Linked DNA regions of Oryzias latipes. The protein of the gene in region 1 purifies or fractionates together with the protein of each later gene. This does not show direct contact. Links are inferred from orthologs where the notes say so. Each region holds a gene or a part of one and is shown on either strand. Other genes may lie near its edges.

Region 1 (6,658 bases):
GGCGTGGAAGGTAGATGGAAGGTTCCATCTATTTTTCCATCTTATGCTCCCTAAAATGTAGCCAAGGTGATGGTTAGGGAAAGCTCAACCCCCTGAATGTCTGTAGGTCACTAAATGAACAACCAGAAATGTCTGAACAGATCTTTAAAGCCATTTGGTGCCAAAAGTTTGTTTAAAATCTTGTCTCTGTTTCTTTCTCCTCCGACATTTTTGAACAATATCTTAAAGCTTTTTGTACATTACAAATGTCCAGACTGCTCCACTCCTTGAGCTTCTGTGGAGTTTCTTTCCCATATGTGGTCATTTCTCATATGCAAGATTAAAGCTTTCCTGGCACTGACTGATAAAACTGTTGTGTGTAGGTTGTTGAAGCTCTTCCAACTCTCCCGGAAATCCCTTTGCCGGCAATTCAACCCAATTACAGACCTCTGCCCTCCATCGACACGCCGCTGTCGCCTCAGAGGCGCAAAGGTAAGACGATCCAGAAATATAAACACCGACGCTCCTATGGAAAGATATAATACCAGTGAGAATTGAAGACAGTGATTTGTGTTTTTACACAAACATTAAAGATGGCTGAAAACTCTTTGAAGCAGTGATCAACAAATGTGTTATCTTGGGGACATTAGACTCATTTTTGTGGCTTCAGATGTAAACATCTTTGAAATCTACTTTTGTTTTTCACTGGATTCTGTTCTTAAGACAGCTGGACTTGTAGTTTCCTTTGTCTGTATGCTCTGATGAATAGAGTTGTGTGATAACGTAACCTGACAATCTCCACTTATTCTGTGCTTTAATTCCACTTCAAGTTTAGGTTTGAATAAAGCAAGAGATTCTTTCCAATCTGTCAGGATCAGTGATTCTGCAAGCAGCTCTGCTCAGGATCAAGCTGACTGACTTTCATGCTGTCTTTACTTTCAGTTCCTGTTTGCAACGATGAAGAGGACACAGGCTTCACTGGGAAACGTTTCAACTCCAAGATGGTTGTTTACTCCGGATCCAAATCTGCCTACCTGCCCAAAATGATGACTCTGTATGAGCAGTGCATCCGGGTGCTGCAGAACAACATTGACTGTAAGTTTCGATTTCTTCCAAAAAAATCCCATCAGCAAAGAGGTAGAGCAGTCTCTCATTAGCCCTGAAGGTGGCAGCAGAAAGTTAGTTTTCCAAGGAGCTTTTGAAGTTGAAGTGTTTGACTACCCAGCCACCTGTAACTCGGATGGTCAAAGCAAAGGCAATCATATAGCTGTTTTGTGCTCTTTTAGCCATCGCTGAGGTGGGAGGAGTCCCGTTTGAGATCCTTGAGCCTGTCCTGGAGAGATGTACCCCAGAACAACTGTACCGCATCGAGCTGAGCAATCAGGTGATTCATCAAACCAAACTTGCTACAAAAGACAACTGGCCCGAATGAACTCACAAAGAGGAAAAGGCCAGCTTCAAACCTACATAAAAATAAAGGTTGACTAAGCGCACGCCCTCCTTTCACTTTAAACCTATTTGATTCAGTTTTGCTTTTATTTTCTTTTAAGGATTTATAACCTTTAGTTCTAATTCATTGTTTAAACTTGTGGCTAACTAAACCCAAACAAAGATTCTACCACCGCCATGTTTCACAGAAATAAGAAGTGTCTTTTCTGTAATCGCTGCTAATTTATTTCATAAAAGTTCAATGCATTAATCATGTCAATTGATAAAAGACGGTTTGATTGACAAACTAAATGTGGACAGAAATAATTGTTTGAATTGTTTTTTCCATTCCTTCAGCCCACCATTCACAATACTTTTGGTTGCATTTCTATCAGTGTCCATCCTCCTAATGTTCAATCACTTAGCATCTGTTTTTTAACCTTTCAGTGTTTTACGGAAGATTCAGACGAGCTGTGGAAGCGCCACTGCCAGCGAGACTTTAAGCGCGAGTCTCCTCAGGAGTTCGAGTCATGGAGGGAAATGTACCTGCGGCTGCATGACGAGCGGGAGGAACGGCTGAGGCTGCTCACCCAGAACATCACCTCTGCACACGCCAACAAACCGAAAGGCAGGAGAAGATTTTGAAGACTTTAAAGCTGGTCTCGAAATGGCAGCCATTCTTACAGTCATCCTTCATGTGTTTTGCAGGTCGACAGGTTAAGATGGCGTTTGTAAATTCTGTGGCCAAGCCTCCACGTGACGTTCGGCGCCGACAGGAGAGGTTTGGTACCTCTAGTGGTTTGTCCTCGGCGGCTTCTATTACAGCTGCCTCTCCTATCAAGTGAGTGAATAAAACTATTATTCTGATCTAATCTTTGATAAAAGCTTCAAAACAACTTAATTTTCTTCTTAAAGAATTTGTTGGAATAGAAATGCACTAGTCATAGAAAAAGGCAACAGAAAGGATGCAGCTTAGAGGTTTGATAAAGAGTGAAGGCTTTTAAAGGACAGCATTCAAGCAGCTGTGGAGACTGATACCATGCATCAAAAACTAAACCCTTGTATCATTGAGATAAAGTTTGTTAATATGAGCCTTCTATTTACTTCGCTGCAAAGGGTTCAGTGACACAGAAACAGCCAGCCAGGCTCAGATCATAGCTTCACTTTAGCAGATTTACATCATCAGTGTTTAGAAGTGAATGAACAACTGGCAAAAAGAGATCTAAACTGCAACCAGGATAGGGGATCTGACACAAAGCCCTTGGATTGGATGTAGAGTTTTTTTAAAAACATTTTCCAGTTGAAAAACATTTGTTGGAAAAAAAACAACAGAATAATCGCTCAGAATTCAAGTCTACTCTCCACATGTGTCCATTCTGTATTTACCCGAGGTCTGACTTACTAAAAGTAGTTTTAGTGTTTCACATTTTAGGAAGACTGATTGTAATATGTTCATATGATGGCTTCTGTACGTCTTCAAAGGTCTATTTGCTAATTTAATTGCACATAATTACACTACACTTTACCCTCAATTCTGTTTATTGGGTTTCCTGCTTTTTAATTTTTTTTTGTTATCGTCGTGTTTCTTGTATTTAGGTTTGCCTTATGCCATGTACTGTCTTTTATCATGTTATTTATTTATTTTACTCACTATTGCCCTGTGCACTGTTGCTGTTGGACCACCCACAATTTAACAGCTGCTGGCAATTACAATATTCTAGTCTAGTCTAGTCTAGTCTAGTCTAGTCTAGTCTAGTTAGTCTAGTCTAGTTAGTCTAGTCTAGTCTGATTACCTTATTATTAAAGATAAACTCAAATACGCAACCATTTTATTTGTAAGAGAATTATTTTTCAATTGTTCTTTGAAGACGTTCAGAAGCCATCATATGAACATATTACAATCAGTCTTCCTAAAATGTGTAACACTAACCTGGTTCCGGGTTACACTACTTTACTGATATAGTATTATGTTTTATTCATATGAGTGGCTTTTATAAGTAACATAATCTGCATATATTTCAGATGACTGATCTGCATTTGCCATGTTGATTTCTAAAATAGTTATTTTTGACGTAATACTTAAGTAATTTATCTTTGTCATGTGCTTTATCGATATCTTATGACTTTTAATTCTGTCTGATAAAAACTGGGAACCGGATATTGATAAATCATGTAATAAAATGGTTATAGTATAACGTGGTGGGATTATATAAGTTTGCTTCCTTCCACTCCCTTTCAAGCAATATTTATTAATATGTCTAATTATCCTAAGTTTGATTAGTTACTGTATGAATGTATAACTGATGATTATATTGCTGTTGTGTATTATTTCTACTTAATTGCTTGAAATAAACCATTTCAAATCAAATCAAATCAAAATTGTTGACTCAGACGGGTGAACTTCTAACCAAATGTATTACTTATAATCTGTATTTCCCTGCCTATATGCAATCTAAATAATCACCCACCTAACTTTTGAAAGTTTTTTCTTTTACTTTCATCTATTTTTCTGCTTTTTAAAAAAAAACTGAAACAGATGCTGTTGCCATCAAATGAACCAGAATTGCTTAAAATGAAAAATGTTTAGCTGGTCTTGTCAACAAAAACCAGACTGTACATATTTAAGTCTAAATGCTCCAGGGATGCTATAGGAAGAATTTTACTCCATAAAAAAAACTTCTTTGATTATCTTATTTTTTAAGTTAAAGTTATTTGTACTATTCTTTCACTTCTATTCCCTCTCAAATATTTCTTTTTCTCCTCAAGAATCCGACCAGTTGTTACAGGCGACTCTGGAGAGTCGAGCCGCTCCTCTTCCTCCTCTCTGCTGGCCTCACCTGCGCCTTCATCCCGGCCCTCCGCTCCAAGTGGAGGAGGAGCAGGAGGACTTGGTCGAGAGAAGCCAGCTGTCAAAAGTAAGTTCACAGGCACTTTTTTATCATTAGATTTGCATTAAATCTTTATATGTTTGCATCAATTAAACCTCCATGTTTGATCTGTTCTGCAGAAATCGCCCCTATGATGGCCAAAACCATCAAAGCGTTCAAGAACAGATTCTCCCGCCGGTAATCTGAATGAGCCTGAATGTATTGTATCAATTACAACAGTTTTTAATTGAAGCTACAAACCATTTACAAGGGAACTGCGTTATGGGCTTCAGTGAGGGGTCTATGAGATTTTGAGATCATTCATCAACGAGTGATTGCAGTGTTGTGCTTGTAATCCAAGTTCAAGTCTTCTGAGAGAAGAGTTTTTCTTTTTTCAAAGACATATGGTGAGCAGAAGGGCTTTTGTGAACATCTATCCACAATTCTTCTGTGAAACACAGAGGTGGTGGCATCATTGTTTGGGACTGGAACGCTAACTATCATTGTTAGATTACTGTAGATGGGTAAAAGAAAAATCGCAACGTAGGAGAGCTAAAGACACCTCCTCCTCTGCCCTTAAAGAGAAGCCCAAATTCAAATGTTCAAAAATTTAAATCTTGACTAAAAATTAAATGCTATAGATTCCATAGAAATCCATCCAAGCACATGTTGTAGTCTGATCTCCTGTGGGACAGAAACTGGGTCCAAATCTCTGCTTTCAAGTGCAGTCACACAATCTGTTACAGCATTAAATGCTAATTTTTGCTAAATCTGTGAACAGATGCTCACAAAAGCTCTCCTACTGTCGTGGTTTTTTGTCAAACGACAGCATTTTGTGTTATAAAAGGAAACTCTTTCATTTTGGATTTCCTTGGAAGAACAAGCTTTTGGTGAATATTCACTTACAAGCTCAAAAAGAAAGGCTGATGCACACCTGAGCCCATATCCTGTTTCCCTCCAACACAAACACACAGTTCGCTTTGACCTTCAGAACATAACCTATGAACTCTGCGATGATGAAAAAGATGGTTTACTGTGTTTTTATGTATATTTGGGGAAGGAAATTTTATAAAATTAAATCCTAAATAATGGTCTTAGTGCAAAGAAAAGGAATTTACCATCTCAAAAAAAGACATGCACACACCTATGCTGTTACCTTTGATTGTTTTTAAGTGGACGGTTTTAAAGACATTTTTGTGTTTTTTGACCTTTCTTTCTTGACGTTTTATGAAAAATTTCATTTTTCCAAACCTTTAGCTGCTGCTAGACCTCAGCACAGAGACTAAAAACAAGAATCTACAATGTTGATCGGCTTTAGAAACATCTCCACATAAAAAAAATTACAATTTTATTGTAATGTCAGACTTATCAACACCAAACCAATTCCCATCAAGTATATAATGCAGACAGTTATCCTCTGTCTCCAAGATACAACAAACCATGCAGATTTTTAGTTTCTTTACAAATCGTGTCATATTTCTTTTACAAATAAATTGATGATTACTTTTTAGAAAATATGAAACATCTATGAAACAGCTAAAAAATACACCATTTGTTTTAGTTTTAGTGGCGTCGGCAATCAAAATGTATTAGCAATGAAACATTAAACAGTCTTCTCCTCAAGAATAATTGGGTTTTAAAGAATTTTAAGACAAAGTAAACTGCTAAAAACTGCTGAAATTTTTAGTAAAGAATTTGATTAGAAATGAAATGACTTGTTTTTAGTCTTTGTGCTAAACTGGTGAGTTGAAGGCCTTAGTGTAGCCTTTGTCACAGAAATTAGATATGTATCAACTTTCTAATTTCAACTCTCGCCAAGAAAACTTGCAGAAAGTTTCCAACATCTCAACTTTTCCTCAGAAAAGAAACGAAAATTATAAAAATATATTGTCCTTTTGGGTTCTCCTGTATGACTGAAGGACACAACAGAACTGCCTGTACATTTTTTTCTGTTTTGTCTTAACACCATTGACTGTCAAAGAGAGCACGTGAACCACCCCGAGTTGCCGGAAAAGCCTGCTTTTTAGAAATAAACATGCAGTTCATTTTTAATTTTATATTTTCCTTGGTACATGTTCAATGTGTAGATCTGAAATGAAAGCAGAAACGCACACTGTTGATCATATTTTTATCCTCCTGTGGCATTGGATGATGATGTCCTGCTGTTGAAAGTGTAAAGCCCTGTTTCCGTCTGCTCCTCTGTAATAAACTGCTTGAATAGGGTTGGTGGGTCTGGAAGAAGAGCTAGAGGGACGGTAGATCATAGGACGCCTGCAGCTTCAGACCATCATCATAAGGAGATGTATTTATTTTCAACGAAGGGACCTTGGCACCCCACAGCATGGGCCCCAACAGAAGCTAGATTCAAATTGTAATTTTATTAG
Region 2 (8,151 bases), on another chromosome or scaffold:
AATATTGTAATATAGTCATACCTAGCCTCAGACGCAGCGAGGGCGAGATCAAACCTCATCTTGTCTCCAGTCTTGCTGAGATAACTGAAATACCTGTTTGAAGAAGAATAAAGGTAAGAGGAAAAAAATACATCTCCAGCAGGGTGAAAGCAGGAAAATCAAATACCTGTGAGCCAGTTCAAGCTCTTTCACCGCACTGAGTACAGCCTTCAGGTTGCTCTTCTCATCTTTCAGCACCAGAGTGGCCAGTCTCTGAAGGACCAACGCCACATTGAACATCAACACCGTATCACTGGGAGCCACATGGCGGGCCTTGATGAGAACACGTCAGAAAGTTACGCTCATCTTCCTCCGACATCCCAGAGCACAGATGTGAGTTTGCCTCCATGTTACCTTCAGCAGAATCTGCTTGCACTCTTGGAGCTTTCCGCATTTGAACAAGGCTCTAGCCAGGTAAAGCAGAACCTCTGTGTTCTGATACTTGTAAAATTTCTTCAAGCAGTTCTCATACTGAAAAGCAGAGTTTAGATTTAAAAAAAAAGTTGGAACACCCAAACTTTTGAACATTTTTTTCTCCCCACCCACATTTGTGAAGCCCTTACCATTTGCACGGCGCTGATGTATTGCTTCTGCTCTACGTAAATGTGAGCCAGGTTAAGCCAGACATCGCTGATGTCGGCCGTGGCCTCCCTCACCTGAGCAAACACGTCACGAGCCTCCCGGAAATAACCCTTATGGGCAAGGACGGCACCTGAACCAGCAGTTTCATGTTTAAGAGGAGTTTAAAAGAAGAGAACAATAAGGAAATAAAGCCTTAACATACCAATTCCGTTAGCAGCATGAAGATTCTTCGCATCATTTCGTAGGACTTGCTTGTATATTGCCAGGGCTCGATCCTGATGTCTTTTTTCCTGCTCAGACACAAGTGAGACTAATTTGAGGCTTTGTTCTCCACTGAAACACAGAGAAAACTATTGACTTCCACTCTTATTACTGCTGAGAAGTTGTGCTCTATTTGAAACAAACTGTTCCAACTTTGTATAACCTAAAACAAAAAAAAAACCTTATTTGTGTTTTCAATAACATTAATTAGTAAGAGCCTTTTGTAACCACTTTCACTCGTTTGTAAATGTAGTGAAACTTTTTTCCTGTTTCACGGTGGGCTGGCTGACTGACGGCGGCTGCACCTTTTCCCGGTCCCTCGTCGGCTGGTGCAGGGTCTGAAGCCACACGTTTCCCAGAGCAAGCATGGAGTAGGTGTCGTTCTGGGTGGACGGCTGCTTCAGAATCCTCTCAAACTTTTTTTGGCCCGGCCCCCACTCTTGTTTTGCCAAGTGAAGATTCCCGATTAAGGACCAGGCATCCGGGTGATCCTGCATTACAGAACAAACAAAAAGATGTGGTTTATACTCGATATTTCTCGTCAATGCTCTAACGCTTAATGTTCGTACCTGATTGATCTGCAGGGCTTCTTTGAACCAATCAGAGGCCTCGTAGAAGTTCCCTTTGTCACGAGCCATTGCTCCAAGACGCAAATAACCTGAAATTTGACAGGTTAATTTTTAAGAAAAGGGTTAATTATAGAAGAAAGGAAAGAAATTTCCATTTCTTAATACTTTAAGTTTGGTGCTTACAGTCCACATAATTGGGATGCTCCCGGAGGATGTTTTTGTAGAGTTTCTCAGCTTCGTGGAATTCACACATCGCCTCATACAAACGGGCCAGATTGTAGGAAGTGGTCACAGAAATGGCATTGTAATAATGCTCATCATGCTCCCCTTCAGCTTTGGCTCTCTCCAAGGATGCAAGGAAGTATTTCTATAAAGAACAAGAAACAACCAGCACTGAGATAGCACCACAAACTCTGCTTAACCCCACATTGATTAATTAATTTTGTACTCTTTCTGTGCTCCAGGCTGCAGAATCAACAAGATGGTCTTGAAAAATGTTTTCGCGATATTTTTCACATTTAAATACACATACTTTAAATAATGAATAAAAAAAGTATCACTTGAAAAGTGCCAATAACAAGCAAAAGTTGCTTTTCTCTTACCTTGGCTTCTCCCAGGTTCCCCAGTCTAAAGTGCAGAGCGCCCAGGTTGTTGAGAATTTCGGGGGGAACGTCGGCCTGCACCGTCTCCTGCAGGATGCGAGTGGCTGTGCCGTAAGCAGACAGAGCGCCCTGGATGTCAGTCTGCTCCAAGATCTGGGCGAGCTCAATCCACGCCTCCACATCATCTGGGTACTGCTCTGTTACCTTTTTGAGGTGACCCTGAACAACCAAAAAGGCATCCGTCTAACATTTGAAAGTTTAAAACTAAAAAATAACGTGAACGTTTTTTAAGAGGGAATTTTCCCTGCCATGGGACAAAATGAATCCATAACAAACCCACTTTTGCAATATCCCTCTTGTCTTGATCATCAGACGTTGCATAGAGGGACCCCAGGATTTTCATGGTTTCGTAGTTGTTCGGATAGGCCTTCAGAACTTTCTCAAAGCACTGTGCTGCGTTTTCTTTGTCTCGTCGATAAACGTACATCTGACCCAGACCAAAGAAGGGCAACACAAAGGTAGTTGAAGCAAACTGAGTGGCCTGGTAGTAATACTGGAAGGCCTGGTCGTAGTCCTCCTAAAGATGAGACAAACCAAACATGATATATACTGAATTTAATGAAACCTAAATAGGTTTAAAAAGAGTTACTTACCTGGACGTGAAAGGAGCGGGCTAGCTGATAACAGCTCTCAGCCTGCATGGCCTCGACTTCCGTGTTGTGAAAAGCGTGAAGTGCCAGATGCTGCACTTTTCTGTAATCCTAGCAGTAAACATACAAGCACAAATTATGAAAATGCAGCCAAAGTCAGACATTCTTATTATTACTGAACAGCTAAGGGAAACCAAGGGGTTACCTTTTTGAAGAAGAAGTGGTTGGCGAGGTGGTTAAGCACCATAGGGTTGCTGGGGTCGATGGTGTAGGCCCGTGACAGGAGCTGGACTCCGTTCTTTATGGAGTCTGCCTCTTTGTTGTTGAGCTCCAAAACCGCCAAACCAACGAGCGCTCCCACACACTTTGAATTCAGCTCCAGGGCGCGACTGAACGCCAAACGAGCTTTCTCCAGTTTGTTGAGCTTGACAAAGCAATGGCCCATCCCCAGCCTTACCTCAGCTACACATGGATTAAAAAAAAAAGAAAAAAGACAATCAGACATGACACAAATTAACTAAAATGTTATTAGGTTTTGTCTTAAACCAAAATACCAAAAATTTGAACCAAATAACAGAATGGAAACATTTTCAGCAGCAGCACTTCTATAGTGTGCAACACATTTTACCTGGGCAGCCAGGATTTGTGCGTAAAGCCTTTTTGTAGTATGCCAGTGCTCCTCTGTAGTCCTTTTTATTGAATGAGATGCAGGCCTTTCCTATTGAAAAACAAAGGCAATTATTATTTTAAACTGATCGCGGCGGCAAGAGCTGAGAAAGTTTTCTCCGAAACTCATCGTACCGAGCAAAGCGGGGATGTTGTTTGTAGACTGGTTAAGGACAAAGTGGAACTGAGCATCAGCCTGGTCCATCTTGTCTCCTTCCAGCAGGCAGAAACAAGCTCTTCCCAACAAATGGTTCTAAACGAGTCAACAATACGGTGCGTTTTCAATAAAGCCAAAGCAGCTTTATTTCACTACTGCCTGCTACGAAACATCTGCCGTACCTGGTCGTACATGATGATTTTGTCCGCCATGGTATAGAGCAGAGTGGCCTGGGTGATGAGCTCTTTTTTGGCATCTTTGTTTTTCTCTTTACGTGCTTGCTGAACATAATAAGCAGCCAGGGTGTCTAAGCAGGTCATCTGGTCCTTTTCATGGTCTCTGTAGTCGAGGTTTCCATCAATACGTGCGGCTTCTAGAAGCTTCACAAAATCTTCTGTCTTGCCCTGTTTGTAATACTCCAACTGAGGAGAAAAGCATCGATTCAGAGGGTATAAAGGGGACTTCATGATATTTATCAGATAATATGTTCTCTTTACAAAAACTTAGTTTGCAGTGATTACAATGACATTTTTAGGAAGTCATTTATTTTATGATCTGTTGATCTAATATCTCAAGAGAGTACTATCGGGAAATTCTAGTTGAATTTACAAGAAAAACAAAAGTAATTTCAATCAATGTTTTATTATTTGAAATACTCACTGCCAAAGCAATCCAGATGTGCAGCTGTGTATGTTCCTGCTTCAAGATGCTGATGACCTCGTCTCCCTCAGGAAGCTGGTCAAAGTCGAGCTCAATGACCTGCAGGGCACAACAAAGTTTATTTCTTCAGGACAGACGAAAATCTGACTTAATCTTTATTTAGAGTATGAGTGGCAGTAAATAAATATCAGCAGTTATAATGCGACTTAGATCATGTTTGAAGTTGCAAGTCTGTTCGTTTAATACCAGAAATAACTCATCTGTAATCACCAAATCTGAATGCACTTCAGAACTCTGATAATCGTGTGGTTTACAGGCCTCAGTTCATAAGAATTACTTTTCAAAGTTCACGTGACCACAGACTGAAGCTTAAAAATCGAAAATATTTCATCAAGGCTCTAAAGAAAAATTAGAAGTTGCAATGATTCCTTTCCCAAAGAAGCCTCTGACTAAGAACACTAAGTTCCTTTTTTTATGTGAGTGTGTTAGAATTCAAGGATTCTTTATTGCCATTTTCAGTGAACAGGGCAGTTTCACAGAATTGGAATTTGCTGCAGTGCTAATGTGCAACATAAAACACTTAAGAATAGAAAAAATGAACAACAGTAAGCAAAATTTAAAATGACACAATGGTCAGAACAATAAACAGAATAAGTAGTGCAAACAGAGTTCAAGAAGGTATTCCATGTTTATTTGTTTACTTCTGGTTTTATAAAATTAGCCATATAGCCTACAGCGTCAAAGTCGTGATTTAAATGACATTCTTTAGATCTCAATATAACTGTTGATGTATGTAATGCAGAAACTATGTAGTCCAATTTCTGTAAACGTTAGCTTCTGTTTCCCAAACAGGGGGGGAATACGTTAAATTAAGATAGTTCCCTTTCCCACACAACTGTTTTACATGTTGCCTATATTTAGTTTTAATTGCATTTTACTGGGTAAACATTTAAACCAACCAAAGCGTCACAACTGTTTACATTACTCTTATCTGTAAGACGAAATGTCACAATTAGCGCTTGCTAGCTGCTGTTAGCATAAGAAACTAGCATCGCAGCGAGGTTCGCTTCCAAACATCAATCAAAACAATTTGCAACTATGACTTTCACCTCATCCGTGTCCCTCAATGGGATCTCTATTGAGCCTCGAGACATCTTGGCTTTGAAGGGTAGATCCTTCTCAAGATAGATTTTTAAAAAAGACTACAAAAATCTAGCCCGTTGTCTGCTGCTTGCTATTTGGTGCCCCAGCAAGCAACAGACTGTGTAACTGAAAATTCAATCCGGCTGGAATAACAGACTTCTTCTTCTGCAATACCGCCACCTGCTGTGTTGGAGTAAGGGTCGGAGTGGGGGACTAACTAAAAAAAAAAATATATATATATATATATATATATATATATATATATATATATATATATATATATATATATATATATATATATATATATATATATATATATATATATATATATATATATATATATATATAATCTAGCCGCAGGGGTTGCAAGCCAGTTGCCTCTGTGCCGGTCCCAAGCCCGGATAAATAGAGAGGGTTGCGTCAGGAAGGGCATCCGGCGTAAAAATTGCCAAAATAACCATGCGAATCATCCACAACACTTTACACATACCGGATCGGTCGAGGCCCGGGTTAACAACGACCGCCACCGATGCTGTTAACCTACAGGGTGTCGGTGGAAATTTGACTACTGTTGGTCGAAGAAAGAGGGGAGGCAGAAGGGTCCGTGGCCAGAGAGAGAAGGGAAAAGGCAGGAACATAGGTTTGAGAATAGGGACTCTTAACGTTGGCACAATGACAGGGAAAGGCAGAGAGCTGGCAGACATGATGGAGAGAAGGAAGCTAGATGTACTGTGTGTGCAGGAGACAAGGTGGAAGGGCAGCAAGGCACGTAGTATTGGAGGAGGATACAAACTGTTCTATCATGGTGTTGATAGGAAGAGAAACGGGGTAGGAGTGATTCTGAAGGGGGAGTTTGTAAACAGTGTTCTAGAGGTGAAAAGAGTCTCAGACAGGATGATGAGCCTAAAGTTAGAAATTGAAGGGGTGATGGTGAATGTAGTCAGTGGGTATGCGCCACAGGTTGGCTGTGAGTTAGAAGTGAAGGAGAGATTCTGGAGTGAGTTGGATGAGGTCATAGAGAGTATCCCCAGAGGAGAGAGAGTTGTTATTGGAGCAGACTTTAATGGACATGTTGGTGAGGGCAACAGAGGTGATGAGGAGGTGATGGGCAGGTTTGGTGTGAAGGAAAGGAATCTGGAGGGACAGATGGTGGTGGACTTTGCGAAGAGGATGGAAATGGCTGTAGTCAACACTTACTTCCAGAAGAGAGAGGAACATAGAGTGACATACAGAAGTGGAGGTAGGAGTACTCAGGTGGACTACATCCTATGTAGACGAGGTCATTTGAGAGAGGTTATTGACTGCAAAGTGGTGGTAGGAGAGAGTGTAGCCAGACAGCACCGCATGGTGGTGTGTAAGATGACTCTGGAGGTCAGGAAGAAGAAGAGAGGGAAAACAGAAAAGAAGACCAAGTGGTGGAAGCTACAGAATGAAGAAACTTGTGAGGAATTTAGGCAGAAGTTGAGACAGGTCCTGGGTGGTCAGGATGAGCTTCCAGATGACTGGGAAACTACAGCAGAAATTATCAGGGAAACAGGTAGGAAGGTGCTAGGTGTGTCATCTGGAAAGAGGAAAGACGGTAAAGAGACTTGGTGGTGGAATGAGGAAGTACAGGAATGCGTCCAGAGGAAGAGGTTGGCTAAAAGGAAGTGGGATGTAGAAAGGACTGAGGAAGGTAGACAGGAGTACAAGGAAGCGCAGCGTAGAGTGAAGAGAGAGGTGGCAAAGGCCAAACAGAAAGCTTACGATGAGCTATATGACAGGTTAGACACAAAGGAAGGAGAAAAGGACTTGTACAGGCTAGCCAGACAGAGAGACAGAGATGGGAAGGACGTGCAACAGATAAGGGTGATTAAGGACAGAGATGGAAAGGTGCTAACAACCCAGGAGAGTGTACAGAAAAGATGGAAGGAGTATTTTGAGGAGCTGATGAACGAGGAAAATGACAGGGAAAGAAGGGAGGAAGATGTGGTTGTTGTGGAGCAGGAAGTAGCAGAGATTGGAAAGGATGAGGTTAGGAAGGCTCTGAAAAGGATGAAGAGCGGAAAGGCCGTTGGTCCTGATGACGTACCTGTGGAGGTATGGAAGTGCTTAGGAGAGACAGCAGTGGAATTTCTAACGAGGTTGTTCAATAGGATTTTAGAGAGTGAGAAGATGCCTGAGGAATGGAGGAGAAGCGTTCTGGTCCCGATCTTTAAGAACAAGGGTGACACGCAGAACTGCAGCAACTATAGAGGAATAAAGTTGATGAGCCACACAATGAAGCTGTGGGAAAGAGTAGTGGAAGCCAGGCTTAGGAAGAAGGTGGAGATTTGTGAGCAGCAGTATGGTTTCATGCCCCGTAAGAGCACCACTGATGCCATTTTTGCTTTGAGAATGTTGATGGAAAAGTACAGAGAAGGTCAGAAGGAGCTGCATTGTGTGTTCGTAGATTTAGAGAAGGCGTATGACAGGGTGCCGAGGGAGGAGCTGTGGTACTGTATGAGGTCGTCTGGAGTGGCAGAGAAGTATGTCAGAGTAGTTCAGGACATGTATGAGAGAAGTATGACGGTGGTGAGATGTGCTGTAGGTCAGACAGAGGAGTTCAAGGTGGAGGTGGGACTACACCAAGGATCAGCTTTGAGTCCTTTTTTGTTTGCTATGCTGATGGACAGGCTGACAGACGAGGTAAGACAGGAATCTCCCTGGACAATGATGTTTGCGGATGACATTGTAATTTGCAGTGAGAGTAGAGAGCAGGTGGAGGAACAGCTAGAGAGGTGGAGGTTTGCTCTGGAAAGAAGAGGTATGAAGGTCAGTCGTAGTAAGACAGAATACATGTG

What was found.
Region 2: the proteins of eloa (region 1) and ctr9 purify together in Homo sapiens (affinity purification with mass spectrometry; 4 studies listed by BioGRID and IntAct, with this or other methods). This does not show direct contact. The link is inferred for Oryzias latipes from reciprocal best matches to the Homo sapiens genes ELOA and CTR9.

What each region holds. Positions count from the first base shown.
Region 1 is NC_019869.2:17,218,232-17,224,889, reverse strand, and holds part of eloa (elongin-A), read left to right. Parts: intron 1-362; coding exon 363-471; intron 472-921; coding exon 922-1,074; intron 1,075-1,265; coding exon 1,266-1,363; intron 1,364-1,854; coding exon 1,855-2,035; intron 2,036-2,115; coding exon 2,116-2,248; intron 2,249-4,173; coding exon 4,174-4,322; intron 4,323-4,414; coding exon 4,415-4,476; 3' UTR 4,477-6,658. UniProt on the Homo sapiens protein: SIII, also known as elongin, is a general transcription elongation factor that increases the RNA polymerase II transcription elongation past template-encoded arresting sites.
Region 2 is NC_019861.2:20,029,619-20,037,769, reverse strand, and holds the start of ctr9 (RNA polymerase-associated protein CTR9 homolog), read right to left. Parts: upstream 5,453-8,151; 5' UTR 5,341-5,452; coding exon 5,296-5,340; intron 4,286-5,295; coding exon 4,187-4,285; intron 3,949-4,186; coding exon 3,709-3,948; intron 3,623-3,708; coding exon 3,505-3,622; intron 3,422-3,504; coding exon 3,332-3,421; intron 3,166-3,331; coding exon 2,909-3,165; intron 2,815-2,908; coding exon 2,707-2,814; intron 2,631-2,706; coding exon 2,394-2,630; intron 2,273-2,393; coding exon 2,054-2,272; intron 1,819-2,053; coding exon 1,635-1,818; intron 1,541-1,634; coding exon 1,452-1,540; intron 1,374-1,451; coding exon 1,188-1,373; intron 912-1,187; coding exon 824-911; intron 752-823; coding exon 603-751; intron 511-602; coding exon 394-510; intron 313-393; coding exon 167-312; intron 94-166; coding exon 22-93; intron 1-21. UniProt on the Homo sapiens protein: Component of the PAF1 complex (PAF1C) which has multiple functions during transcription by RNA polymerase II and is implicated in regulation of development and maintenance of embryonic stem cell pluripotency.